2 linked regions of the Arabidopsis thaliana genome follow. The protein of the gene in region 1 interacts with the protein of each later gene in a pairwise test. Each region holds a gene or a part of one and is shown in the gene's direction. Other genes may lie near its edges.

The links. The genes of interacting proteins can lie anywhere in the genome.
Region 2: the proteins of ADA2A (region 1) and HSFC1 interact in binary tests that used the Arabidopsis thaliana proteins (3 or more experiments, as listed by UniProt).

What each region holds. Positions count from the first base shown.
Region 1 is NC_003074.8:2,469,314-2,474,868, reverse strand, and holds ADA2A (ADA2 2A), read left to right. Parts: upstream 1-1,773; 5' UTR 1,774-1,806; coding exon 1,807-1,859; exon of another isoform or gene 1,860-1,961; intron 1,962-2,087; coding exon 2,088-2,149; intron 2,150-2,232; exon of another isoform or gene 2,233-2,233; coding exon of another isoform or gene 2,234-2,285; coding exon 2,286-2,488; intron 2,489-2,616; coding exon 2,617-2,682; intron 2,683-2,768; coding exon 2,769-2,894; intron 2,895-2,972; coding exon 2,973-3,045; intron 3,046-3,151; coding exon 3,152-3,212; intron 3,213-3,301; coding exon 3,302-3,360; intron 3,361-3,514; coding exon 3,515-3,565; intron 3,566-3,652; coding exon 3,653-3,881; intron 3,882-3,970; coding exon 3,971-4,181; intron 4,182-4,273; coding exon 4,274-4,552; intron 4,553-4,660; coding exon 4,661-4,855; 3' UTR 4,856-5,038; downstream 5,039-5,555. Other genes in the region: AT3G07750 (3'-5'-exoribonuclease family protein), read right to left, coding at 1-124, 432-556, 651-729, 931-1,023, 1,112-1,168, 1,261-1,383; AT3G07730 (uncharacterized protein), read right to left, coding at 5,263-5,555. UniProt on the Arabidopsis thaliana protein: Required for the function of some acidic activation domains, which activate transcription from a distant site. The exact mechanism of action is not yet known.
Region 2 is NC_003074.8:8,939,217-8,943,384, forward strand, and holds HSFC1 (heat shock transcription factor C1), read left to right. Parts: upstream 1-1,849; 5' UTR 1,850-2,238; coding exon 2,239-2,466; intron 2,467-2,495; exon of another isoform or gene 2,496-2,550; coding exon 2,551-3,315; 3' UTR 3,316-3,658; downstream 3,659-4,168. UniProt on the Arabidopsis thaliana protein: Transcriptional regulator that specifically binds DNA sequence 5'-AGAAnnTTCT-3' known as heat shock promoter elements (HSE).

The sequences.
Region 1 (5,555 bases):
CCGGGACACTGGAAGTGTCAAATTGAAGATATTCCTCGTCGCTGATGTCAATCTCTGGTTGCTCATCATCTGCTACTTCAGCTGAAACATTGACTTTTGGGATGGCCGTGTTGGTTAAAGCAGCCTGCAGGAGTATAGTCAACAAGTGCATTAAAGCATGTGATCAGCCTTGAGGAAAGATGACTTTTGGGTTGCTTAAACTATCAATTGGAAACATATCGTAAAGCTACTAAAACCAATAACAAGACAACTACATTGAGCTAATCTATATACACTTAACTAAAGACCCATTCCCTTTCGTTTCCTATATTCTCTGGCCTTTCCTTTCTCATGATTCTGATTGATGGGTATGATTTACTCACTAACATTCGTAACTAAAACCTGAGACTAAGGGTTAAGAGAGAAAACCAAACACACATCACAAGAATTACCTTAATGGCAGCACCCAGGGCATCCAATAGATTCCCATCCGAACTAATGACAAGACCATCAATATAAAGGTCCCAGCAAACTTTTCCTTCTTTGATTAAAAGCGAAGATAAATTTATTCCAGCTCCTGGTACCAAAACATGAATTGCTATAAACGTTACAAACAGAAAGCGTAACAGTGTGCAGGTAAAAAAAAGCATTGCATAAACATGATTGCAGACCTGCTCCACTTTTGCCACCCAGAAGACATCTTTGAAGAGCCAAAGCAAGCTCAGAAGACAATTCCTCACCTCCTCTCCCCTAAGTAACAACATATCACAAAGAATTAGCCGCCTAAAGACTTAACACAGTAGAATTTAGGAGATTCTGAAGAAAAGTAATGATAACCAAAATCTCATGTTGAACAATTCCACTAGTAAGAGAAACACCAATAGAACGATAGAACGGGTGTGACAAGTGCTAGATAGAACCAAAACCAAACGAAATAAAAGAAAAGCTCACCCCAAATGTCGGTTCAGCTGTTGGACTGCAATCAATGAAAACTGCAACCTTTCCTTTATCGGGTTGAAGTGAACTTGGCCTCCCAATTTCAGCCTGCAATTACACAAGATTACTGGGTAACATCTACAATAGCACTTCCCATTCAACAATAGAACAGTAGCAGAGAGAACAAAGGAAGTACCTTTACACTAGCAATCACATCGGTTCCACCAATTCTAACTCTCGCTGAACCATTAGCCTAGAGCCAACAAAAACAAGAGAAAGAACATATCTGTTAAACAACTGGGAAGCAACAATGAGAAGCGGACGAGCTCTAGGAGATTACACTACCTGCGGAATAACACCGGTTTCGACGTAGATAGGACGGTAAGTCAATCTTTTCCGACCATCAGTTCGAAGATCTTGAGCAATCCCACCTTTAATGAAATGTTGTTCCCCAAGAGAAAGCCCCATCACTAATACTACACAGAGAACGAATTAGATCAACTGCTGAGGAATTTCTACCGGAATGACAAACTTCAAGGTTCACGGATTGGTGCTAGGGTTTAAGAGACAGCTCAAACAAAGTACACATCTTTATACAGCACAATCAAAACCCACTAATCTTCTTTACCTTCCCGGAGAATTCAATAGAAGACACAACTCTGAAGTTTTCCGGTGACCCTAGCGGCAACTTTGGATTGGTTAGGTTAAGAGAGAGACGTGACCACTGACAACTGCCGTAGGGTTTAAAGATGGCGTGAACATAATTATTGACACTTGTTAAGGGTAATTTAGTCATTTACCGACTTACCATTTTTTCACTGCTTTTTAGCGTTTTCTCGCTCTTCTGGTTTTTTCTTCAATCTGCCGGGAAGAAGTGCGAGCTTGGTGCCGATGGGTCGTTCGAAACTAGCTTCTCGTCCTGCTGAGGAAGACCTGAATCCAGGGTTCGTTTAAAGTTTCGTTCTTTGTCCATCTTAGCTCGAAGTCTTCTAGGGTTTTCTCTGTTCAATTACTTACTTGTCTTTGCGAAAACATTTCAATATCTGGTAATCCACTTAGCTGTGTTTGATTATCTGAATCGGAGTTCTTTTGGTACTTGTGGGTGGCTCTTGATTTCATACTGCTGTCGTCTCTTGTCTTTATCCTAATTTTGATGATTTTGGCTGTTTCAGAAAATCAAAAAGGAAAAAGATATCATTGGGTCCTGAGAATGCTGCGGCATCAATTTCCACCGGTAGGTTTCCGTTTACTTGTGCAATTAGGTGTGATACTGATAGGACTAAAGTTTCTGCTGTGGATAGATATGCATTGATGTATCATGTACCAAGCTGCGTTTTCCAAAAGTTCTTACATGTACCAATACATTGTAGGAATTGAAGCTGGGAATGAGAGGAAACCTGGCCTTTACTGTTGTAACTATTGCGATAAAGATCTGTCTGGTTTGGTTCGTTTCAAATGTGCTGTTTGTATGGACTTTGATCTTTGTGTGGAATGCTTTTCTGTCGGCGTTGAACTTAATCGTCACAAGAACAGTCACCCATATCGTGTTATGGTTAGTTTCCAACGCCGAGCAGTATATTTGAATTCAATTCAACGCTTTGTCAGCTGAAAAGTAATTAGATTAGTGATTGTGTTTAAAACAAAGAAAATGTTCTATGGTTGTATTTTTGTTTGTATTGAATCTACCCTTTTGTTTGACAGGACAATTTGTCTTTTTCGCTTGTTACTTCTGATTGGAATGCCGATGAAGAGATACTCCTTCTTGAGGTAATCATTAATCGTTTCTGATTGTACACTCCCATGTCTATATAGAGATTCCATCTGACTATTGGGAAGTAAATTGACTGTGTTAGGCCATTGCGACATACGGGTTTGGCAATTGGAAAGAAGTTGCAGACCATGTTGGTAGTAAGACAACGACAGAATGTATTAAACACTTCAATTCTGCTTACATGCAGTCACCATGCTTTCCACTTCCGGTAAGGACTGATGAAAACACATGATCGTCAGATAGTTGAACCTAGCTTGTTTATTTACTCTAGCTCCCCGCTCTGTAGGACTTGTCCCATACTATTGGAAAGAGCAAAGATGAGCTGCTTGCTATGAGTAAAGATAGTGCAGTCAAAACAGGTCAGCTTTAAAATCTATTAGCGGGGTTTCTTGTTGATTTGGGACTCGTATATTAACCTTGACTGAAAAAAGGAGGATGCTGAGCTCTGTTTACTATTTGTCACAGAAATACCTGCATTTGTGAGGCTATCTCCAAAAGAAGAGTTACCTGTGTCAGCTGAAATCAAGTATATACTTATGCTTGTAACAATAGTTTACCTACGTTTACAATGTTGAATGCACCTTTTTAAAAGTACTATTATGTTTCCATGGGCAGACACGAAGCTTCAGGGAAGGTCAATGAAATAGATCCACCTTTGTCTGCCTTAGCTGGAGGTATGTGAAAATGCTTTTATCTATATAAAATTGTAGACATTATTTGCACTTAGATTTATGGCTAAGGACGCAAATCATCCGCATTTCGTACTACGACCCCAAATATTATCTCTTCCATGATTCCATATGTAAAGTAATACTTTTTATTGTACAGTCAAGAAGAAAGGCAATGTACCGCAGGCTAAGGACATCATCAAGTTGGAAGGTTTGTTATATACTGGAACAAGTTTTTATGCAAAGTGATATTTACGCGAACAAAAACTAAAGGTAGTTAACGGCCCTTGTGTCTTAGCTGCAAAACAACAATCTGACAGGAGTGTCGGGGAGAAGAAACTCAGACTTCCTGGAGAGAAAGTTCCATTAGTAACAGAGTTATATGGTTACAATCTAAAGAGGGAAGAATTTGAGATCGAACATGACAACGATGCTGAGCAACTGCTTGCTGACATGGAATTTAAGGATTCTGACACAGATGCTGAGCGTGAGCAGAAACTGCAGGTTCTTCGTATTTACTCGAAAAGGTACACTTATCACAGGAACAACCATTTTTAAACCGGAGAATTTTTTCATAAGCCAATGCTACAAGCCAAGATTGTGCCTTTGTTGGCAGGCTTGATGAGAGGAAGCGGAGGAAGGAATTTGTTCTGGAAAGAAACTTGTTGTACCCTGATCAATATGAGATGAGCCTTTCAGCAGAGGAGAGAAAAATATATAAAAGCTGTAAAGTGTTTGCGCGGTTCCAATCCAAAGAAGAGCACAAGGAACTGATTAAGAAAGTCATTGAAGAGCACCAAATTCTCAGAAGAATCGAGGATCTTCAGGTTTGATGCTTAAAATTTTACCAAGCTTGAGTACTGGATTACAAACTCAATTAGGTGGGAACATTAAGTTGAGCTTTTAATAAATGTTGCAGGAAGCTAGAACTGCTGGTTGCAGGACAACTTCAGACGCAAATAGATTTATAGAAGAGAAGAGAAAGAAGGAAGCTGAAGAAAGTATGCTGCTGCGGCTTAACCACGGTGCACCAGGCAGTATAGCCGGTAAAACACTAAAAAGTCCAAGAGGGTTACCCAGAAATTTGCATCCCTTTGGTTCTGACTCACTGCCAAAGGTCACACCTCCAAGAATATACAGCGGTTTGGACACTTGGGATGTTGATGGTCTCCTTGGAGCTGACTTACTCTCAGAGACCGTAAGAACAATAATTTTCAAACTTGATGTTTGTCATCTTATTTGTGATTTTGTTGATTTGTTGACATTATTCCTATGGTTTGAGAGATTGAAGCTGTTTTTTGTGCAGGAAAAGAAGATGTGCAATGAGACCAGAATACTGCCTGTACACTATTTGAAGATGTTGGATATCTTAACAAGAGAAATAAAGAAGGGGCAGATAAAGAAAAAGTCTGATGCTTATAGCTTCTTCAAAGTAGAGCCGAGTAAAGTAGACAGAGTATATGATATGCTGGTTCATAAGGGAATAGGTGACTCAACATGACTCATAGCTTCATGGTCCTAACATGTACTTCTCGAACATATATTAGCCATGTAAATATAAAGGAAGGTGATGCTGATTTTGGTTACACATCTTGTTCTCTGTTAGTTTCGACAACTTGACAATGTCTGATTGTTATGACCTTCAAAGGCTGTTTCAGATTTTTTGATACAACGTTTAAACTGAATATTGTAATGCCTTCACTCATCTGATTCCTTCAATTTTTGTTATATGAGATCAGAAAGTCTTGAGACATTGCATCAGTTTTCAGGAAAAACCTAAATAAAACCAGATTCTTTGGTTACAAGAAACTACACTGGATCAGATTGCCATCCAACAACAAAGAAAAAAAAAAAAACAGACAGAAATCCAAAAACTTAATCTACATGAAGCCAAAAGCTTTACCATTTCTAAGGTTGCCAACTTTGAGTCTTCTCCCAAGGCTTGAAAACACCATCATGAGAAACATATTTCAAGTAAAAGAAAAAGCCACGCAGCAACTTCAAAGCTCTTGCCTTATCAACACCAACCACAAGCTTGTATTCTTTTTCGAAATCAGGGAAACTTTCTAGATAAGATTGTCCCAGTTCGTCAGTCTCATAATCAGATCCTCTTCCCTTTCGTAGTTCTCTGCATCGAGTCATTTTTTTATGGATTGATACGTAACGATGGAGCTGCTTCATCTCTCCTTCATCATATGGAT
Region 2 (4,168 bases), 6.5 Mb from region 1:
ATGAAGTGACGTATAATCGTCTACTAAACTATTTTATCCGTACGACATCAGTTTCCTATAATATTTGTGTGACACTATAATAAAAATGAAAAATCATGTTCGTCGTATACCTGAATTAAGCAACGTATAATGAATAAACTTTCCATAAATACAAAAATACTCGATTAGTGGAGTGTGCATCGCCAACAAAAAAGATTCTACGCAACGTGTCGAATCAGTACTTGTTCCTGAGTTCCTCCGTCACTAACCAGTGCGGACCATGTCAGTATCCAAGCACCCACACGCTCGTCGTCTCTTGAAAACATCTCACACAAATACACAACGGCTCGGACTAATAACTTGCCATCTAAGAAAAGCTAATTGACCTAAGGCTTTGTGGCACCTGCATGTAAAAAGCAAACACGAATTTGCCACGTTATTACAAAGCATACCACGTCACCGTCTCACTGTTACACTATCTCTTGTTCTCCTTTATTTCGCTATGGACAACAAAAATTATAAGGTGGGGAAGAGATGTCTCAAAATACTTTTTTATCGTCCTCTCAATTTATGTAACTGATAATAATCGAAATAGATAAATTTAATTGTAGGTTGACAAAGCGCTAATTTTAATAAAAACATATATTAGTTTGGAAAATTTTGTCGTAGTAAGTAATTAAACCTATCAATCTTGACTAATAATTTCAAGTATCCCATAAAAATCAAAATTGTCCTTAGGTTTTGAAATTGTACTACTGATAGTACGTAATTAAACAAACAAAAGCTATAGCTTGTGGATTATAGCTAATCCCATTTGGCGATGAGAGTAATATATATATTGTTCAAATAAAGTTGTAATTAAGATTCGATTGAAAAGGTAAATTATAGTTTAAGAAAAACAAAGAGAGGAGACAACAATTAAAAAAATGAAAAGTGGAGAACTGTACTCTCGCCTATACGAGGAGGTCATTATCTCCAAGGCTCTCAAGGATTAAGGACCATGCTTTGATTCTATAAATGTTGTTTTATTCAAACTATTTATATTATTATATCATACGTAATATGTGGTTAGCATTTGACCCACGTCCCCTTAATTAAGTCTAGATTAATCCCATTAATCTATCCAATTAATAATTAGGAAAATTTTATATAAGATTGCTATTGGATTTCTCGGTGGTGGTTTAAACTATAAAATAGTAATGCCTTTGATGCGTGTGATTTTTTATTGGAACTTATTGGTTTTAATTCTTAACCTAGCAATTATATTTGTAGTAGTTTATGTTAATCATTGTTTAATAATACTCCTATAATAACTCTTGCAAGTAGCAACACTTGTGTGGCTATTTATTCCAGAGTCCATGGATATGTATGTATAAGAAAATAGGAGTGCTTTTGCAGATTGAAGAGTTTGTCTATAAAATCATGTTTACTTGGCATTTAGTGTTATTGTTTGCAATTTTTTATTTTAAATTAGTCGGATATTTTAAGTTAAAATCTGAATACACAGCATGTTCCTTCTAACGTTTTTTAACATAATTGTAAACTAAAGAAAAATTATAATATAATAAATTAAATTATACCCTCTCTATTCATTGTAGAAGATTTGTTTGTTTCACCAAATGTGTTTTTTTTTTATAAGTTGCTCTCACTCTTGAGAGTTTTGGAGTATTTTGAAGAGGACGAGGTTCTTTTGTGAAAAAGTGAAAGAAACAAATCATGTCAAGAATTAGAAAGAAATCATGACAAATAATTTTGTTTGTGCAGAAATTACAAATGAATCATAGATATCCTTCTAATTCGGGATCGGAAACCAGTTGAAAAATCGATGGACTAAGCTTTCTATATTGGGACTAGCTTACCCTTAGAATTAGTCAAGCAGCTTAAATCATCTATGACTTAAAATTATAATTAAGAAAAAACAATGCCTAAATATGCATATATTTCAAATGTATCACATAACTTGTGACATAAGAAAATATAAACAAAACAAAAAGGGCAAAAAAGACCTGAAAGCTTAGAGGCACACCTGCATAGGTCCCACAGTTCACTCGTGACACCGTAAAAGGCAAAACACGAACCCGCCACGTTATCACAAAAAGCAAGCCACGTCAATATAGTCTCACTGTCAACTACACTTAACTTACTATTTTCACATCTCATTTTCCTATCTTTATATAAACCCTCCAGGCTCCTCTTTAATTTCTTTACCACCACCAACAACAAACATATAAACCATAAGGAAAACAGAGAAAGAGAGAGATGGAGGACGACAATAGTAACAACAACAACAACAACAACGTGATCGCACCTTTCATCGTGAAAACATATCAGATGGTCAATGATCCTTCCACCGATTGGCTCATCACTTGGGGACCTGCTCACAACAGTTTCATAGTCGTTGATCCACTCGACTTCTCGCAACGAATCTTACCTGCTTATTTCAAACACAACAATTTCAGCAGTTTTGTTCGTCAACTCAACACCTATGTAAGTTAATTCATAACCGAAACTCATACATGAAACTGGAAACAGGGGATTACGAACTAATGATCCTTTCTTTATTTACTTTAGGGGTTTAGGAAAGTGGATCCGGACCGGTGGGAGTTTGCGAACGAGCATTTTCTAAGGGGACAGAAGCATTTGTTGAATAACATAGCGCGTAGGAAACACGCGCGGGGGATGTACGGTCAAGATTTGGAGGACGGTGAGATTGTGAGGGAGATCGAACGGTTAAAAGAAGAGCAGAGGGAGCTAGAGGCAGAGATTCAGAGGATGAACCGGAGGATCGAAGCGACGGAGAAGAGACCGGAGCAGATGATGGCGTTTCTTTACAAAGTCGTTGAAGATCCTGATCTTCTTCCAAGAATGATGCTCGAGAAAGAACGGACAAAGCAACAACAACAAGTTTCCGACAAGAAGAAGCGTCGTGTCACGATGTCGACGGTGAAGTCAGAGGAAGAAGAAGTGGAAGAAGATGAAGGGAGGGTCTTTAGGGTTATGTCATCATCAACACCGTCGCCGTCATCAACGGAGAATCTTTACCGGAATCATTCACCGGATGGGTGGATTGTTCCTATGACGCAAGGACAGTTTGGTAGTTACGAGACGGGTTTGGTGGCGAAGTCGATGCTCTCGAATTCAACGTCGTCGACGTCATCATCTTTGACGTCGACGTTTTCTTTGCCGGAGAGTGTTAACGGAGGAGGAGGAGGAGGATGTGGGAGTATTCAGGGAGAAAGAAGGTATAAAGAAACGGCGACGTTTGGAGGAGTGGTAGAGTCAAATCCACCAACAACACCGCCTTATCCATTTTCTCTGTTTCGAGGTGGCTTTTAGCGTTTAGCTTCACATGATATATGATCTTTAGACTTTATTATTGTTATATTATTATTATTATTTATTTTTTGTGTGTTTGTTCTTAATTATTTTATGTATAACCAAAAGAAAGAAAGAAAATAAGGACAGATCCATAGTTGAGTCAGTAGTCATCGTTTGTAGAAAGTTTTGACAGTATATAATTTCTGATTATATTTGTTAAAAGTTCATATGTTGACTTTGTTTTCCTTTTAAAAGTACTTTCAGGTGACTTGTGTAATATATTCACACTTGTAATAACAACAATTTTGATCTTCTTCACTACTTCAGTGTTTTGATTTTTGAATAAAGTATTATTGTAGCCTTATATCTTTGTAATAACAACAAAATATAGGCTTTACTTTTTCCACTTTAAGCTAGTAATTAAGTCTATATACCATTTCAAATTTATCGTTAATGGCCATCTTTAAACTAAACCATATCGAGTATTTGACTCTTTCTCTTGAAACACTTGTTCTCAAACACATTAACGAATCAGTTGACATGGTATATAGACTTACTAGCTTATATAACCCACATGCTTAAAGCTGATCATAAAGTAGAAGAAACATTGCCTATATATAACCCACGTGGTTAAGGCGACACAAGTCGGTCGACTGATAACAAGTCAACGAGACATCCATTCAAGATTCAAACGTATCATCAACACGACGCTCCACTTTCACTTTCATCTAAAATTGATAACATGACATTGTTAAATTTTGAGACGTGACAGTTAGCCACGGGACTTTGGTCGGCCAACAACGTTTCGAACACTCATTGGGCTAGAGAGAGAGAGAGTATAAAACAACGATAAATCTAAATTGGACCACCT